Sus scrofa: one gene and its partner. Each later gene encodes a partner of the first gene's protein in a complex. Links are inferred from orthologs where the notes say so. Each region holds a gene or a part of one and is shown in the gene's direction. Other genes may lie near its edges.

Evidence for each region.
Region 2: POLR3G (region 1) and POLR3K share a complex: the UniProt entries of both Homo sapiens proteins name them as parts of the RNA polymerase III complex. The link is inferred for Sus scrofa from reciprocal best matches to the Homo sapiens genes POLR3G and POLR3K.

The regions. Positions count from the first base shown.
Region 1 is NC_010444.4:97,644,715-97,653,869, forward strand, and holds the start of POLR3G (DNA-directed RNA polymerase III subunit RPC7), read left to right. Parts: upstream 1-3,541; 5' UTR 3,542-3,680; intron 3,681-9,155. Other genes in the region: MBLAC2 (metallo-beta-lactamase domain-containing protein 2), read right to left, coding at 2,524-2,977. UniProt on the Homo sapiens protein: DNA-dependent RNA polymerase catalyzes the transcription of DNA into RNA using the four ribonucleoside triphosphates as substrates.
Region 2 is NC_010445.4:41,568,387-41,577,510, forward strand, and holds POLR3K (DNA-directed RNA polymerase III subunit RPC10), read left to right. Parts: upstream 1-3,342; 5' UTR 3,343-3,386; coding exon 3,387-3,575; intron 3,576-4,937; coding exon 4,938-5,025; intron 5,026-5,659; coding exon 5,660-5,787; 3' UTR 5,788-6,658; downstream 6,659-9,124. UniProt on the Homo sapiens protein: Core component of RNA polymerase III (Pol III) which synthesizes small non-coding RNAs using the four ribonucleoside triphosphates as substrates. Can mediate Pol I proofreading of the nascent RNA transcript.

The DNA.
Region 1 (9,155 bases):
TTAACCTCTTCACATGATTTAAGTTCACCTGAAAAACTGTTCTAATATGTTGGTGACTCTGGGAAAATTATTTAAACATGGACAATAGAGGTCAAAATGCCTGCACTTCATATTACTTGAATATTATGAAAAATAGTCCAAATGATGTGTGCCCACTCAAGAATGTGCTGTATAACCTAAGGTTTATTGCTATCTTCTTAAAGGAAGATACAACTTTACTATTAGTAGGAAGAGTTGTTTTTTTCATTAAAGATGATTTTCCATCAAAGATGATGCACAGAATGATGATCTCTCCTTGTCCCTCACATCCAACTCAGCTTTTGGGTTAGTGAAACAGTACACAGATTTGTATCTTTCCATGACAAGAGGTCATCAAAACACTAAATGAAATGACATAAGCTGATGAATTCAGTCTTACGTTCTAACCAAAACAATAAAGATGTTATGCTGTTAGTTAGGTATGTTCTGTTCATGTATGTGGAACTGTGTATGAGTTTTTCTAGATCTCCTTCCAGACATCTGCATTAATGATAATATCAAGTTAGCAAGCCACACCATTCAGAAGAGACAGGAAATTAATATTCCTGAGAAAAGAGGAAATTAGATACTATTTGAGGGCATGAGGCATCCAGCTTCTAATGAAAAACAAATTTTAATTTACATAGAATTACCACCTTCAAAGTGTGTAGTAAATACTGAGCTTTCTTTTCACACTTTCAAAGGCTTAAAGCACTGCACAGGTGACTTGCAAGCTACTTGCAATTCCAAAATACTATAATTTTACCATCAACTGGGATTTAGGAAACCTGGATTCTAGTCCCAGTTCTTTCCCTAACTTGGCTATGTGACCCCAGGCATGATATTCAAGCTTGCTTGGATTCCATCTATAAAACAATAATTTCTATCATTCTTTCATCATTGATTTCCTATTTCTGGTAAAGGAGCAAAAAGTAAATAAATAAAAATTTATTCATTTAGATAATTTAAATATATTTTAAATACTTATGTAAAGACTTTTTGTCCTGGGTGTCAGAGTTTAGTCTGAATACCAATCAACACCATGGAAATCCTACCTTTAAATGTGTCAGTTTAATCAAGAAATACAGTAACTAAAAGCACATTTAATGTAAATGTAGTTTTCTTTCATCTGAAATTGTCAGGTAAAGTAGGACTCCCATCTAAACCCATGGGTTTTTTTTTTTTTAATTTTTAGATTTAAAATTTTAATGAAGACTTTTTAAGCAGGGTGTGAGATATACAATCTTGCTTTCTATTTTTTATATCTCATGTGATCAAGATCTCATTTTTGTAAAATATTTCATTATTGCATACTGGTTGGTCATAAAATGAACCTTACTGTACTGCAGCAACTAGATTTTTCCACCTCTTAGAGGAAGGATTTAATAGATTAAATTGGCAAATAAAATGGTTTCACGATAGAAATGAAAGGGACTTTCACATCCTACTCAGAATTACCAGTTTTATGGAGGATTAACGTGAGAGCTGCATGCTTTGATCTTATTGCACCTGGGTTCAAATCCTAGCTCTTGTTACTATCTTGTTCTGTAAATTCTAGGCAAGCCATTTAATTAGGGGTCAGCAACCTCGCTTCCAATGAGTTGTCAGGATTAAATGAAATCATCAAAAGCATCCTAAAAAGAAAATATACAAACAGCACTGCTATGACTGGTTCAATTATTTAAGTGCCTGTGTAGAGCTGGAAGGGCAGGAACCCTATCCTATTTTATTCTTTCTGAACCCCATCTTGTTTTTTCAGAGCCAAGAAGCCCAAGGTGATTTATGCATCAGTCCACATACTTCACCATCATCGGAAACAGCCTCCTCATTCATTAATCTTTCTCAGGCCTTGCTTTCAACCAGAACAGAGAGCTGCCATACTCTAAGATTCAGACATACTCTACTTTTTATGTTCACTATCAAGCTTCTTCTCTTGTGAGGCAACATCAAGAACAGAAACCTATCTGGAAGATAAGGATGAATGAACAGTTTGAAACCACTGACTGCTCTCTAATGGCTTTCTAAGCCTACAGGTGTGAACCGGGCAGATGAAGTCAGCAGTTCTCAAAAGCATAGAGCATGACATGCACTCTCCATGAGGCGTCATTCCTTTTAAGGAAGACTTTTCGCTAGAAAAGTGCCTGAAAATGTCGGACAGATGTTTGGGGAAAGAATGGAAATCCTAGATATAAGACTCTGTTGGTGTTATTGCTGTACGTTACACAGGAAACTGACTAGGGGGTGGGGCCGGCTCTCATTTGAGTACTCTGCATTGCTACCCGGTGCCAGAGCTGGTCTCCGGTAAGGAGGACTAAGACGGCCTACCATCGACCTGATGTCGACTGGGGTTTTGAATCAGGAAGGGTGAAACAGAAGTAGTGTTTCTGCGATGGGACAAAATAAGGCCCCTTACAGCCACGCACGTCTGCAACAAGCACTCCTCGGACAGTTTCTCCCCAATCCCTTCCCTTAATGAGAGAGCGCGCGCTCGTGAAGGGCCATTACCATCCTGCAGGATGAGGGTGGGCTGCACCGCCTGCACTCGAAACTGCCTGGCCCTCCAGCCGGGGCTCGGAGCCCGGACCACCTCACTGTCGGACAGCCAGGTCACGGTTTCAAAGTTGTCCCCGCGAGCCAGCGCCTCGGCCTCGGCGTGGTGCACTGCCACCCGGTCGAACTGGTAGAGGCCGCCGGAGTGGTCGAAATGCACGTGAGTGGCCACAGCCAGCAGTGGCCGGCATGCCGCATCCTCTTTGGCCTCGCGGTCCTGCAAAAGGCCAGAAGAGTACAGGTACTCCGGGAGGCTGCGCAGGCCCAGGCCTGTGTCGATCACAACGTCTTGCTCCGAGCCTCGCACTAGCCAGATGTTGGCGCGGTTGCCTGACTCATAGAAGCGTTCCTGAATCCAGAAGATACCGTCGCCCAGAGACTTGTGGGCGTACCACTCGAGCGCCGACATGCTGAGTAGGGATGCGGCCAGGCGGAGTGGGTGTGGGCGTGTGTGCCTCCTGCAGGCTGCCCAGACTCCGGCGCTGCGGCGGGATAGACTGGTCTGCCTGCAGTCGGGAAGAAGGCGCAGAGCAAGAAGGGGGCGGGGGATGCAAAAGGAGTGGGAGGAGAACTGGGAGGAGGAAGGACTCTCGGAGACGCTGCCTTCCGCACCCTCCCTCCCGGTCCGCAAAGAACAGAGACCTATCTCCTTGCACCCCGGTGCAGAAACAATCGCAGCATCAGAGGCCACAGCAGAAAGTAGCGTCAATTCAGTAGACAAGGGATTCAGAAAGCGACACTCTTCCTACCGCCAGGTGTTTGACTGTAGAGGGCAGGGGCCAGGTTTGGAAGGCCCCAGGGCCGCCCACACACCGCGCGCCGTGATGCGCACTTCCAGCCGGCGCAGAAAGAGTCAGGCCAAGGAGGTTGGACCGGTACGGTTCCCGCCAAGGGATAAAAAGCTCTCTCCCCAGAGGGCGGGGCCTACCTAGCGAGTGGGCGGAGCTAACTGGTGCGATCGGAACGCGATTCTGAGGCCTCGTGGAGGGCGGAGCGCGTTTTTCCAGAGGTGGAACCAGCACTCGGCGTCGGAACCTTCTGTCCGCACCCCTTCCTTGCCGGCCGGCACTTCGGCCGCACAGTTTTCTCAAGCTTCGAGACTTAGTAAGCAGGTAACAGAGGAGGCAATGGAGGGGTTGGGAGGAGATGGAATGAGTAGGGGGGGGAGTTAAAGGGGCACGTGGAAAAGACCGGGGAAGGCAGGAGTGGAGATTCATTAAAGAGCCTCTGGATTGAGGGACGTAGCGAGATCTCTTAATCCCTTCACAATCTTTTGAAATCGTCGTTCCAGATTTTATCTTGTCTCCACTTATTAGGACTGTTTTCAGTGAGTTCGAAGGGAATTTATGCTTTTACTGATGGTTGATTTTCAATTCCGATGGTATGATTGCTTCAAACACGAGTCATTGCCGCAGACTTGCTGCTAAGGACGCACTATTCAGTACGTTTTTTGTTTTTTGTTTTTTACCGTTAGCACTTTACCCTGTACTGTGAGGAGAGGTGTTGTTGATAAGGTTTTACTTCTCTTCTGAAAAATTAAATTATATATTCCTTCCCCTCCCCTTCCTTGTTTTGGTTACTTTGCCCGCTGTTGGAAGAGAGCAAAGAAAGTTGGTAGAAAGGCTCAACTAAGGAAGGGTGGAGGCAGCTGCACCTTGTGAGGGCAGGAAAAGTGGATAATGATTGGGTGTGGCCCCATCAGCTGAAAAAATCATCCCTAGTATTAACATAAGGTCCCTGTCCCCATCCCTCAGCTCCTCGCTGTTGGTATATCCATTCAGACTTAAACAATTCCCTTGAGAACTCGACTAACCTCCCTATCCAGCCAGGAAAAATTATAAAGAGACCCATGAGACAGCATTATAAAAGATAATTATGAAAACCCTTATTGTCTCAGCTACTAATAAGCCTTCATAGAGGGAGAGGTGTTCTCTCCTTCCCTATAAACCTTAAGTCTTTGAGGGGGATGCAACTTTTCTGAATGTTTACCTAACCTAGTTAGAATTTATCCAGACACTCTGTTCAGGGCTATCCTTATGTACAAGTCCCTCAGCTAAATGATGTGTGAAAAACAGAATTGTGTTGTTTTTTTTTTTTTTTTAAAGTCATGATCTGGGTTCTCAGGAATTTGAGGGAAGCAATATCTTCACAAAAATGTTTGCAGTAAAAAGCAAATGAGATATGTACCCCAGAGGAAGTAAAAACCAGGTGCTATGAGAATATGCATGGAAGGGACTGATGAGTAGAGGCATTTGAGCTGGCCTTAAAAGACCACTGTTGTTAGGATGTTCTCAGCACGAAAGTAGAGAGCTCTCTGTAGTTTTATTTTTCCTCTAGGTAAAGGGAGGTGAATTGGAGTGATATTCTTACTAAGCCATGAGCTCAGCAATAATTCATCCAATTTTTATTGGACTTTTGCCAGGCTCTAGTTGGTGATGGGGCAGGAAGAGGTGAATAAATCTTCAAAGAGGCCTTCACACTTACAGATCCTTCTGCTTGTATTACACTTTCCCTTGTATATCCTTTCCTGATTCTCAGCATGGCCTTTTCCTTCTGTCAGTTTTGTGCTCAAATATTACAGAATACAGGACCTCTTCAACCACTCTTTCTGTAATAGCACCCATGTTTCCTGCTTTTTTTTTCCACATCACTGATCACTACCTGACATTTTCTATGAAATATTTTTTCCCTTTCCTGTAGTAGACTCTAAGCACCATGAAAACAGGGGTTTTGTTTTATTCACTATTATATTCCCAATTCATAGAAGATGGCCTGACCTAAGAGTGCTTAATTAATACTTGAAGAAGGATAACTGAAGAACTTATGGGGAGACAGACAAGAACTGATGATTACAACATGCTTTTTAAATGGTAATAAAACAGGGTAGTATTTGGGAGACAGAAAAGAGAGAGGCCTAGCTCCACTTAGGGTGGAGGAAATGGTCTCAGAGAAGTGGCATTTGCATGGTATCTTAAATGATGATGGGGCTTGCTCAGGTGGATGTGGCATCCCAGCAGAAAGAACACTACAAGCAAGAGCTGATATGGCAGATTTGGGAGTGGTCAGGAAAGGAGAAGGTGCCAGATGCACAAAGTCAGACTCCAAAGCTCTGTTGCTTAAGAAGGAGAGTGAAACATCAAGGTTTATGTTCTAGAGGGATGTCTGGAGAGTGGTTTGAAAGAGGAAGTCTGGCTATGGGAAGGTTGGTCCGGGTCAGGGATGGTGAAGAAAGGCAGATATGTGAAAGGGGACACAGAACTGATAGTCTTCTACCATTAAATGAGGATATCAAGGGAGTCGAGGACAAGGTCAACAGGACCAGCTTCTGAATAGGGCAATTTAAGTGTCATTCATCAGGAAGGATACTGTGACCAGACTTTCAGTGCCTCTCTCAGAATCCATACCTGCTTATATGTTTATTCACTTAGCAAATTTGTGCAAGAGACTGTGAGAAGTGGAAGACAATACATTTAAGCCACAATTATAACTCACAAGGTTAGAGCTAGGAGGAATTTCGGGCATGAGCGCAACCTCTGCCACAAGATTGTTTCCATGCTTTTGCATTTCAGCTCTTGGATGCTTGAACTGCACTTGTCAAACTATTTTAGAACACTTCTGAACAGAAATTTTCAGAAAGCATCCCAGAATGGAAGGGTGGTGCCTCTGATTTTATATTTTTAAATCCAATCCATTTGGTCATTACTATTCCACTTCATTGTAAAGATTAAAGACATCTCTGCGATTTAAAAGGTCTTCAGCTAACCTGGTAGTGTGCTGCAGGCAGCATAATATAAATGCTAAGGACAATGGAAGGGTATCCTGACACTTTAATGCAGTCTTATCTTTGTTAGGAATTAATTCTTTGTCTTTAGGCACTCAATGGACTTCGGACTTCATAGTCTCACTTTCCTCTTCTATATAACAGGAAATTTAGTCTGGAGCAGTGGTTCTTAACTTAGGTTACACGTAATCTCCTGGGATGCCTTAAAAAGTGCTAGGGAGTTCCTGTCGTGGCTCAGCATTAATGAACCCCACTGGTATCCATGAGGATGCAGGTTCGATCCCTGGTCTCAATCAGTGGGTAAAGGATCTGCTGTTGCCAGTGAACTGTGGTGTAGGTCTCAGTCACAGCTCCGATCTCAAGATGCTATGGATCTGGCATAGGTGGGCAGCTGTAGCTCTGATTTGACCCCTAGCCTGAGAACCTCCATATGCTGCGGATGTGGCCCTAAAAAGACAAAAAAAAAAAAAAAAAAAAAAAAAAAAGAAAAAACAAAAGGTCCTATTGCCTAAATCCTATCTTCAGAGATTCTGAGGTGAATGCGTTGTTCCAGCGTGATGCTTGAGAGCTTTTTGTTTGTTGGTTGGTTGGTTTATTTTAACTCTCCTGATGATTCTAGTGTACAGCTGGGTCCCAAACTTATTCTAGAAGTTAAAAACCAAAAACCTTAATAAGTGAGCAGACTGAATTGTATTTCTGTAGGGAGATTTGCTCATAAAATCACAATAAGTAAACAAATAAGGAAAGCTTAACATTGATTATAGAGCTGTTGCTGTATAGAGAGCACTCTTCTAGGTAGTAGGTATATGAAATCTCTGCTGTTAATACAGTGGAAGAAACAAACAAATAAACAAAAATGGAATTGAAACTCCTTCTCTTTGGAAAAGGCCCATTTCCCAAAAGGGGCATTGTCTGTATTTCTTCCAGAATTGAAGAGTGGAACAATATGTATCACCTCAATTTTTAAAAATCCATTTAATTTAACAGGAGGATCTTTCCAGGAGCAAGGTGGAATGAAATGACAGTTGTGAATGTTGAGGGACTTAAGCTGGATCTTAATGTGAAAATGGATGCAGTCAGATAGAGAAGAAGAGGTTTCTCTATTGGAGCAAATGGTAGTTAAGACATGATTACAGGCAAGTGAGTCAGGAGGATCAGTGCAGCCATTTTAAAAGGGCTCTGAATACCTGGCTACGGAGCTGGGATTTAATCTCTAGCCGAGAGGGAAAATGACAAGAGAAGCATAATCAGAATGATGCTTTAGGATGAATAATGTGAGAGAATAAATTAAATAGGAAGAACAGGAGATACCACAAAATTTGCAGCTAGTCAAAAGTGAAGTAGAGAGAGTTCCCATCGTGGTTCAGTGGTTAACAAATCCGACTAGGAACTATAAGTTGCGGGTTTGATCCCTGGCGTTGCTCAGTGGGTCAAGGACCCGGCGTTACGGTGAGTTGTGGTGTAGGTCGCAGACACGGCTCAGATCCCGCGTTGCTGTGGTTCCGGCGTAGGCCGGCAGCTTCAGCTCCGATTTGACCCCTAGCCTGGGAACCTCCATATACTGCAAGTGCGGCCCTACCAAAAAAAAAAAAAAAAAAAAAAAAAAAAAAAGGGAAGTAGAAAAGAGCTGAACTGGATTATGGTAGAAAAAATGGAAAGGAAGAGACTTTTTTTTTTTTTTTTTTTGCATTTTGCCTTTTCTAGGGCCGCTCCAGCGGCATATGGAGGTTCCCAGGCTAGGGGTCCAATCGGAGCTGTAGCTGCCGGCCTTCGCCAGAACCACAGCAACACCAGATCCAAACCGCCTCTGCAACCTGCACCACAGCTCATGGCAACGCCGGATCCACTGAGCAAGGGCAGGGACCAAACCCGCAACCTCATGGTTCCTAGTCGGATTCGTTAACCACTGCGCCACGACGGCAACTCCAGAAAGGAAGGGACATTTTGAAGGAACAATTAGATGATTGATTTCTTAGGAGGTGTGGAACAGAATGAGGAATCAATACTGACTCACTCCAAATCTTCAAATATTGGTCACTGGGAAAATAAAATACCATGGATAGAAATAGGGACATTATACATGAAAGGCAAGCTAGTTAGTATAGAGAGAAGATGATCTCCGTATTTTAAGTTTACGGTACTGTCCAAATATTCTTTTGGTAGTAAGAAAATGGACTAAAACTCAGGACAAAGATCACTATCATTGCTAGAGGTAATGGTGTGGGAAAGATCATCAAACCCTGAGACCGAGTGCTTTTTCCAAAGATAAAAAAAGAGCACAACCGGAGTTCCTGTCGTGGCTCAGTGGTTAACGAATCTGACTAGGAACTATGAGGTTTCGGGTTCAATCCCTAGCCTTGCTCAGTGGGTTAAGGATCTGGTGTTGCCGTGAGCTGTGGTGTAGGTTGCAGACGCGGCTCGGATCCCGCGTTGCTGTGGCTCTGGCGTAGGCCAGCGGCTACAGCTCCAATTAGACCCCCTAGCCTGGGAACCTCCATATGCCGTGGGAGTGGCCCTAGAAATGACAAAAAGACCAAAAAAAAAAAAAAAAAAAAAAAAAAAGGCACAACCAAAGATTGAACCTTAAGAAATCCAGGAGTTCCCGTCCTAGCTCGGTGGTTAACGAACCCAGATAGTATCCATGAGGATGCAGGTTGGATCCCTTTTTTTTTTTTTTTTTGCTTTTTAGCAAAAGAGGGACCTTGCTTTTTTAATCAACTTGAAGACTATTAGCAGCCATACATACTTTGAATTTTTAATGATTTATTTACCCTAAATTTTGACTGTGAGAAAGAATCTTTGAGAT
Region 2 (9,124 bases), on another chromosome or scaffold:
GCGTGGCGTCATCGAGGTGGGGAGGGGGCAGCGGCCATCCTCCTGCCGCCTCGCACTCTGAATTGTCTCCTGGCTCTGCTGCCCGGAACTGCCACTAGCAGGGGCCTGGCGCTGCTGCTCTGCCTCCGCCCACCTGGCAGGGGGCCTCAGTCCAACCAAGGACCCCCCACCCCCCACACTCCCCGGGAACTGATTTAGGGTCCACCTTCCTTTTTTTTCCTTTTTGTCTTTTGGCCTTTTTCTAGGGCCGCTTCCCACGGCACATGGAGTTTCCCAGGCTAGGGGTCCAATCGGAGCTGCAGCCACCGGCCTACGCCAGAGCCACAGCAAGGCGGGATCCAAGCTGCGTCTGCGACCTACAGCACGGCTCAGCGCAACGCCGGGTCCTTAACCCACTGAGCGAGGCCAGGGATCGAACCCGCAACCTCACGGTTCCTAGTCGGATTCGTTAACCACTGAGCCACGACGGGAACTCCAAGGATCCACCTTCCTTTAAGAGCCCCTGGGGGGACGCGAGCCCGAGGGCAGAGCACAGGGAACAAGAGGGCAACAGTGCTGAAGCTCAGGATACGGCCTAGACTTACTCTCGGAGCTTCTTCCGGTCCTCTGTGAGCTTCTCTCCCGCAGCCATCAGGTGGTATGTCCTCCACACATAGGACCTGCAAGATGGGGACTCGTGACCTGGGAGCAGAGTGAGGAGGGCCCATGGCAGCCAGGCCCCTCTTGTGGGATCTTGCCCTGGACCATGCGTGCCCCAGGCCTGAGGCGGGAACGGGGAGGCACTGCTCTGAGGGATGCGTGGGGGGCTGGGAGCAGGCCCCTCGCTAAGGAAACAGCGGCTGTGCTGAGATGACACGGCTGATCCCGAAGGAGACTGAGGGCTGACAGCACCCAGGCAAGGGGCGGACACTGCACCATCTGAGACAACGGACACCACCTCCGCACTCACGGGAAGGGCCCTGAGGGAGCCCCACGTGAAGACACGTGGCTGCCCGGTTCCAGACCCGTGTGAACCTGGGGCAGGGAGTCAGTGCTCTGGCCTGCGCTCTGCAGCGGAGCCTGGGCGATGGACGAGCCCATGTCCCGCAGGCGCTCAGTGGGCTCCACACTTTCTCCCAGGAAGGGCTGCGAGGAGCCGCGGCTCCACTCACCAGCTGATGTGTTGAACGCCTCCTTCTCGCTCCTGCCTGAGCTGCACGTATCTCTGGATGGCTTTCTTCAGGTCCAGGACTGTGGCGTTCTGGACGACAACCACAGCTGCAAGCAGGAAGACCTGCGGTGGGGATCCGCAGCCACCACCCCCGCTGGCAAGAGGGCCATGAGCTCTGCTGAGCCCTGTTTCCTCCTGAGGCTCAAGTCTGGCCAGGGAGCCCTCGCGTTCTCCCAAGGCCCCGGGCCAGGCCCCGACTTTGCCCCTGACCGGCCCTGCTAAGGCCCTCCCCCGAGTTCCGCCCCTCAGCCTGAGATGGTAGGAGGCGGCACCTACGCATGACTTCTCCATCGGTCTTGCACACTCGGACTGTCATCGCTTGGCCATATTCGAGGGCTATTTGGGAATTGACTTCTTCCAAAGTAACCTAGAAGAGACCCAGGCTGGGGGCGGGAGCTTGCTTCACCGCCCCAAACAAAAGGGAAGAAGAACCAGCCCATCATTCAAACAAAGCGGTACCATATTTGGGGAACGTTCTTGCCTACGGGTTAGGGGGGGTCCCAGTGTTTCAGCACCTCCATCTCAAGTCCTGGTCACCTTTGCCAAGGAGGCGGAGACCCGGGAGAGGAGAGCAGAGAAACAGCCTCCTTGAGGAGCAGCCCTTGCTCCTCCGGCCCAGCAGCTGGATGGGAGGGGCAGCCCTGGGCCTGAGTGCCCAGCCTGGGAGGGCTCCCCCTGCCCCCAAAAAAACCCTCAGGCCCTGGGGCCCCAGGCAAGGCTGGGGCAGGGGTGCAACATTTACCGGGGCAACAGAAGACGAATACCACTATCAAGAAAACAAACTAATTTAACATTTTCATGATGGGCAAAATACAAAGATTTAAAAACAGGAGTGTGCCAGGTCATACTGAAGCCTGAGGAGAATGGAGAAATCTTTATTATTTTTCATTTTTTTGGTTTTTTAGGGCTGCACTGGCGGCATATGAAGGTTCCAAGGCTAGGGGTCTAATCGGAGCTGTAGCCACTAGCCTACACCACAGTTCACAGCAACGCCAGATCCTTCACCCACTGAGCAAGGCCAGGGAGGGGTCGAACCTGCAACTTCATGGTTCCTAGTCGGATTCGTTAACCACTGAGCCATGATGGGAACTCCAGAAATCTTTAATACTGGTCTTTTTATCTGACATGATATCATTTTGTTTACCCTAGGTCTTTATAAACCAATGTTGAGTTTTAAAAACACTGTACTGGAGTTTCCATCCCTGGCCCCACTCAGTGGGTCAAGGATCCTGCGTTGCCCATGAGCTGTGTTGAAGGTCGCAGATGCCGCTCTGGATCCTGAGTTGCTGTGGCTGTGGTGTAGGCCAGCGGATTCCAGCCCTAGCCTGGGAATTTCCATATGCCCCAGGTGCGGCCCTAAAAAGACAAAAACAAAAAGCCGAAACAACAAAAAACCTCCTAAACCAACCAAAACACTATACTGAAATGTCATGTGTCCTGACTAGCGGGTTTTTGGCGCTCCTTTTTTATTTTTTTTTTGGCCATGCCCGCAGCATGCGAGAGTTCCTCTGCCAGTCGAACGCACGCCCAGCAGCACCCGAGCCACAGCAGTGACAATGGCGGAGTTCTTAACCGCTAGACTACCAGGGAACCCTTCGTAAATGCCGCGCCGGAGACCAGTGCCTCGCTCGCCTCCCAGGCCCAGTCGGAGCCTAGACCCTCGTTTACGCCCTGAGGCCGCTTCTGGAGGTCTCCGGGCCGCTGCCATCATCGGTACCCCAGAATCGGTCCTCTCCCTGACGCTGGGCTCCGGAGCGGGGGAAGAGGCCCCGACCCATGCGCACCTGGATCGGAAGGTCGCAGAGCAGCGGGTCCTGCACCACCATGGCCAGACCCTCTTGGAAAACGTCCACCGCCTCGGAGTGCGGCAGTGCCTCTTCCTCATCCTCCTCGTCCTCCTGCGGCTCTGGCCGTCCCGAGGCCCCCGCCACCTCCAGGGCGCCTCGCAGCCCGCGGGTTCCGCCCCCACACCGCCTCTCGCGACCCGGGCCCGGGATTCCCGGGCTTCCCGCGGGGAAAGCCACCCACGGCCCGGCCTTTGGTCGAGGGGCGGGGCTACCGCCAGGACCAATGAGAAATGATGCTTTGGGAGCCAGCCTGCCGCAGTGCACACTGGGAGTGCGGAGCCGACGTGCCTACTGGTGGGCTGATTGCTGAGAGGCGGCCGCCGGGACCAATGGGGAGTTCGGGGCGCCCGGAAGCCCCCGGAGTCCACGGCCAGGGAGCTGCAGGGAGCGTAGGCTGGGCTGTCGTGATGCTGCTCTTCTGCCCAGGCTGCGGGAACGGGCTGATTGTGGAGGAGGGTCAGCGCTGCCACCGCTTCGCCTGCAACACCTGCCCCTATGTGCACAACATCACCCGCAAGGTGGGTCCGCGCCGGCCTCCCGGCACGCAGGGCCGCAGCCGTCGTTCTCGCGGAGCGCGCCAGGCCCTGACCCTCACCTCCCCTAGCTCCGTCCTCTGCTTGGGTTTCGCGTCCCAGCAGCCTCTTGCCCGCACCGCCAGCCTCTCGGAGGCGCCCCGGTCTTGCCCAAGGCGCTGCTTCCAGGGTCTGTGCAGGAGTTTTCTGTTCTAGTCGCTCTTCCCCTAGGGACTCACTCGTTCCTGTCACTCCTGCCTGTATTTACCTAAGGGATTGTTTATATAAATGCGGCCTTTCCGTTCCCTAGTTTTATTTTTCATATAGGGCTCACTGCCTTCCAGTATACTTTCTTTTCTTTCTTTCTTTTTGTTTGTTTAGTTTTTGTTTTGGCCGCGCCCCCGGCACCCTGGCATGCACAAGTTCCTTGTGCTGGGGACGTGGCTCGGATCGTCATTGTCGAAAAATGAGGCACGTGAACACGGGGAGATCTCGACAAGGCTCTTTACTGCTGCAGAAGGGCGCTGGGCACCCCAAAAAGTGCGCGTGCCCCGAACAAAGGACCCTCCCCTGTTTATCCCTAACACAGGGGATGTACCCTGTCCCCTTCCCGTGGGTCAGGTCAGGGTGCACGTTCTTCCCAGTTGGCTAATTTGAAACAAACTGTTACTGGGAGAAGAGGGAAGGGGGGGGGGTTGCAGGAAGGCATTTCAGCAAAATGGAGTCACCAAGATTTCTTTTGCTTATGTCGCTTTCCACACCTGCAAACCTGCACCACAGCAGCGACAGAACCGGGACAGAACCAGGGCGGTAACCCGCTGAGCCAGCAGGGAACTCCCAAGTGCTACTTTCTCCTTAGTATTTGTATAGATTTGTATAGTGTCCTGCCATGTGGCCGTGTTGTGGGAGTTTAGGGTCTGAAACGACGCGGAGGGTGGACTCTTACCTACCCCGACAGGTCAAGGACGGCTGGTAGAACCTGGCAAGTGCTTAGAAAGCTCTGCCCGGAGCCTGGGGGGGGGGGGCGGCTCCCCGGCTGAGATTGCCCTTCTTTGGCCTCAGTTCTCTGGGGCCTCGTCTCGGGCTACCCAGCCTTAGGGGGTGTGGGAGAAGAGGAGGGCCATACCCGAGCCATGCTTCTCTTGCTCCTCTTGCTTTGTCCAGTCCTTGCAGAGACCTTCTCTTGGGGCAGTCCAATCATGGGTCCTCTAAGTTCTGATGGAGCAGGGCCTCTGCCTGTCCAGTACCCCTCCCGTCCGGGTTGAAGGGTGGAAGAAGCCAGACACCTGCGGGCAGGTGTGGTTAGGTGATCCTGGGGTGTGCGGTTCAGTCAGTTGGAGAGACTGAAGAGTGGCTGTTGTTTGTTAGGTAACGAATCGGAAGTACCCAAAGCTGAAAGAAGTGGATGACGTGCTTGGTGGAGCAGCTGCCTGGGAGAACGTCGACTCCACCGCAGGTGAGAGGGAGAGGCCTGTTCCCGGGCAGAGCTGTGGATGGTACGGGGCTGCTGACTCTGCCCCTCCGTGGCAGTCTGCTTGTGCTTCTGCGAAGAGGAAGTCTATATTTTCTTCCTTAATAATTTCTTAGAAATTTTTATTTATTCATGTGGTGGTTTTTTTGGTTTGTTTGTTTTTTGCTTTTTAGGGCCCCACCCACGGCATATGGAGGTTCCCAGGCTAGGGGTCTAATCAGAGCTGCAGCCGCTGGCCTCCACCCCAGCCACAGCAAGGCCAGATCCTTTACCCACTGAGTGAGACCAGGGATTGAACCCACAACCTCATGGTTCCTAGTCGGATTCGTTTCCGCTGCGCCACAACAGGAACTCCTTCCTTGATACTTTCTTTGTTCCAAAACCAGTGTCGGCACAAGCTTTGGAGCTGTTCAGACCTGATTTCGAATCTTGAGGTGGCTTACTGCCTTATGACCGTGACCTTTCTGGGCTACCTCCACATGCCACAAGTTCCCCGGCCAGGGACTTGGTCCGCGCCGCAGCCGCAACCCAGGCCGCTGCAGTCGGATTCTTCAGCCTCTGTGCCACACTGGGCATCCTTTTTGAAGTAACCGTGGGTCCCTTGTTTTTCTCACGCCAGAGCCGTGTCCCAAGTGTGAGCATCCTCGGGCCTATTTCATGCAGCTCCAGACCCGCTCTGCCGACGAGCCCATGACCACCTTCTACAAGTGCTGCAATGCTCAGTGTGGACACCGCTGGAGGGACTAGGGCCGGGTGGCCCCGCTGCCCAGCATCTGCTCACCTCATTCCCCAGGGCGGATTCCCAGCTGGAAGGGAACTGCGGGTTCTGAGCATCTTTGCCGGTGTGGCAGAAAGCCAGCCTTCTCAGAGTGGCCCGGCCGGGGGGCCAGGAGATGGCCCCCATCGCCCAGGCAGTGGATGAATTTGCTGACGTCCAGGGAGAACTTGTGTTTGGGGGCAGTGGCCACACCAAGTGCGTCTTATTTAGGGTCCTGTTATCCATCTTTCCCGTTTAGTGGGCAGTGAGCTTTCTCTCGCCACCAGCTGACGCTCGTAAACATTTATTTATATGTTGGCACACCCAAGAAAATGGGGCTTTGACTTAGAACACTAGCTGTCCTTAAGTATTTAGCTGTTAGTTGCAAACTCGGTGGATCAGCGTTTATTCTGAATATTTACTTAAAATTAAAATCCGATACCACCTTCTCAGGGTTTTAAATGCCTTAAGGTGGAGACGCCAAATCCCAAAACAAGAATCCAAAACTGACTCCTGTGTGTAGGACTAGTGTGGTTATGACATTGTCAATGGCGTGGATTTTCTTTTATTATTTTGATTCTCAATTCCTGGGATTGCGGTAAACTTAGGAGATGGTATTTCTTTGATACTTGATGCTTTGTCCATCTCTCTCCTCTAAAGGGGAAAAGGACACCTGAGGGCCAGCAGGGGGCAGGATCTTGGTTATTGATGGATTGAATTCTTGCTCAGGACCTCAGATGTCATTGCTTTTCCAGATCTTTCTCTCTCTCCTTTGAAATTCGTTTTATTAAACTCTAGTTGATTTAACATGTTGGATTAGTTACTGCTGTACAACAAAGTGATTGAATTATATTCTTTTTCGTCTTTTTTTTTTCCTGGTCTTTTTTTTTTTTTGTCTCTTTAGGACCGTACCCACGGTGTGTGGTGGTTCCCAGGCTAGGAGTCGAATCGGAACTAGCCGCTGGCCTACCCCACAGCATCCCAGCTGCCCACTGAGCAAGGCCAGGGCTCAGATCTGCGTCCTCATGGATACTAGTTGGATTCCTTTTCCCTGAGCCATGACGGGAACTCGTCTTTTTCATTGTTTTTTTCCATCGTGGTTGATTACAGGAGGTGGACTCTAGTTCCCTGAGCCAAATCTCTTAATAATGGAGTCTCACTCATGAAATAATGGGACGTGAATTTATGCCTTCGGAGTTCCCGTCATGGCGCAGTGGAAACAAATCTGACTAGGACCCATGAGGATGCGGGCTCAATCCCTGGCCTCACTTGGTGGGCTGAGGATCTGGTGTTGCCATGGGCTGTGGTGTAGGTCGCAGACGCGGCTCAGTTCCTGGGTGTGGTGTAAGCCAGTGGCTACAGCTTGTAATCAACCCCTAGCCTGGGAACCTCCATATACTGCGGGTGCGTCCCTAAAAGGCAAAAAAAAAAAAAAAAAAAAAAAAAAAGAAATATATATGTGTATATATATATATGCCTTCACTGTAGATTTTTACTTTTTTGGGATTTATCTTTCCAAGAAATTATTATTATTACTATTTATTTATTTTTAAGGCTGCACCTGCAGCACATGGAATTTCCCAGGCTAGGGGTAGAATTAGAGCTGTAGCCGCCTGCCTATACCACAGCCACAGCAGCACTGAATCCGAGCCCCCTCTGTGACCCACACTGCGACTTGTGGCAACACCCGATCCTTCACGCCCTGAGTGAGGCCAAGGATCGAACCTGCATCCTCGCAGACAGCATGTCGGTTTGTTAACCCACTGAGCCCCATAGGAACTCTGAAATTACGATGTGTTTTTTTGGTTGGCCCATGGCACGCAGGTGTCCACAGGCCAGGGGTTGAACCTGCACTACAGCAGTGACCTGAGCCAGAGCAGTGACAACCCCAGGTCCTCAAAGCACTGAACCACCAGGGAATGCCGATGATTACTTGTTAGGGCCATGGTTTACATGAGTCTTTTCTTATCATTAGAACACAGAGACCAGGCCCGAGCCCGTTCTCTGTAATTGGTTCTGTCTCAGAACTGTTTGTTCGGGTTTCACAAATGGGATTTTATCCTGGGGGAAGTCTCTAGTGTCGTCTTTTTTTTTTTTTTTTTTTTTTTTTTGGCTTTTTGCCTTTTCTAGGGCCGCTTCCGAGGCCTATGGAGGTTCCCAGGCTAGGGGTCGAATCGGAGCTGCATCCGCTGGCCTACGCCAGAGCCACAGCAACACGGGATCCGAGCAACCTACACCACAGCTCACGGCAATGCCGGATCCCTAACCCTCTGAGCAAGGGCAGGGATCGAACCCTCAACCTAATGGTTCCTAGTCAGTTTCATTAACCACTGCGCCACCACGGGAACTCCTCTAGTGTCGTCTTTTTTCTTTTCTTTGTTTTTGGCCACCCTGCCGCCCATGAAGGTCCCGTGCCAGGAGTCAGATCGCAGCCACAGTTGCGGCAACACTGAATGGGCTGGTGATCAAAGCTTCCTTCTGGCGCCGCAGAGACGCCACTGATCCCACGGCGCCACCGCAGGAAGCCCTAGTGTCTTCCTCTGCTGTTGGTTCTGCTTCCTCCGCGTTTCGTTCTCTGCTGGAGGCAGCGTGGATGACGGAAGGTCATGCCCTGGGAAGCCGGCCTGCTGCCTGTTGAGGGGCCGAACTGCCTTTGTTTCCTCCTGTGTCAGTCGGAGAAGCGATGGTTTTTTACCCCAGGGGTTTCTTCCTCCTCCTGTAAAGAGCCAGACAGTAGATATTTTGGGTTTTGTGTGCAAGAGGGAAAATCTAGGGAAGCCCCAGAGAAGGGACTCCTACAATTTCTTTTAAAGCAATTCAAGGTAGTTCCCGTTGTGGCTCAGCAATGAAGAACCCAACTAGTATCTGTGAGGATGCTGTTGCTGTGTCCCTGGCCTCGCTCGATGGGTGAAGGATCTTGCATTGCCGTGAGCTATGGTGCAGGTTGTAGATGTGGCTTGGATCCTGTGCTGCCGTGGCTGTGCAGCTGCAGAGCCAGTTCAACCCCAAGCCTGGGAACTTCCATATGCCGTGGGTATGGCCCTAAAAAGCAAAAAAAAAAAAAAAAAAAAAAAATCAAAATGTCATCATGCCATATTGTAATATGAGTCTCTTGATGAAAAGAACGGCTGCCATTTTGCTTAACTGAATTTTCAAGGTCGGTGTTCGCTGTCCTTGAACTTGCTTGCCGGTGGGCACCTCTTCATGCAGGTTCAGGGCAGGGGAGCACATGCAGTTCCCTGGGCGCTGCTGCTTGGTTCCGGGAGATGCAGGTATTTCCTTGTTTGTGGATGAATGACAGTGAGAACTCGCAGGCTGCAAACACAC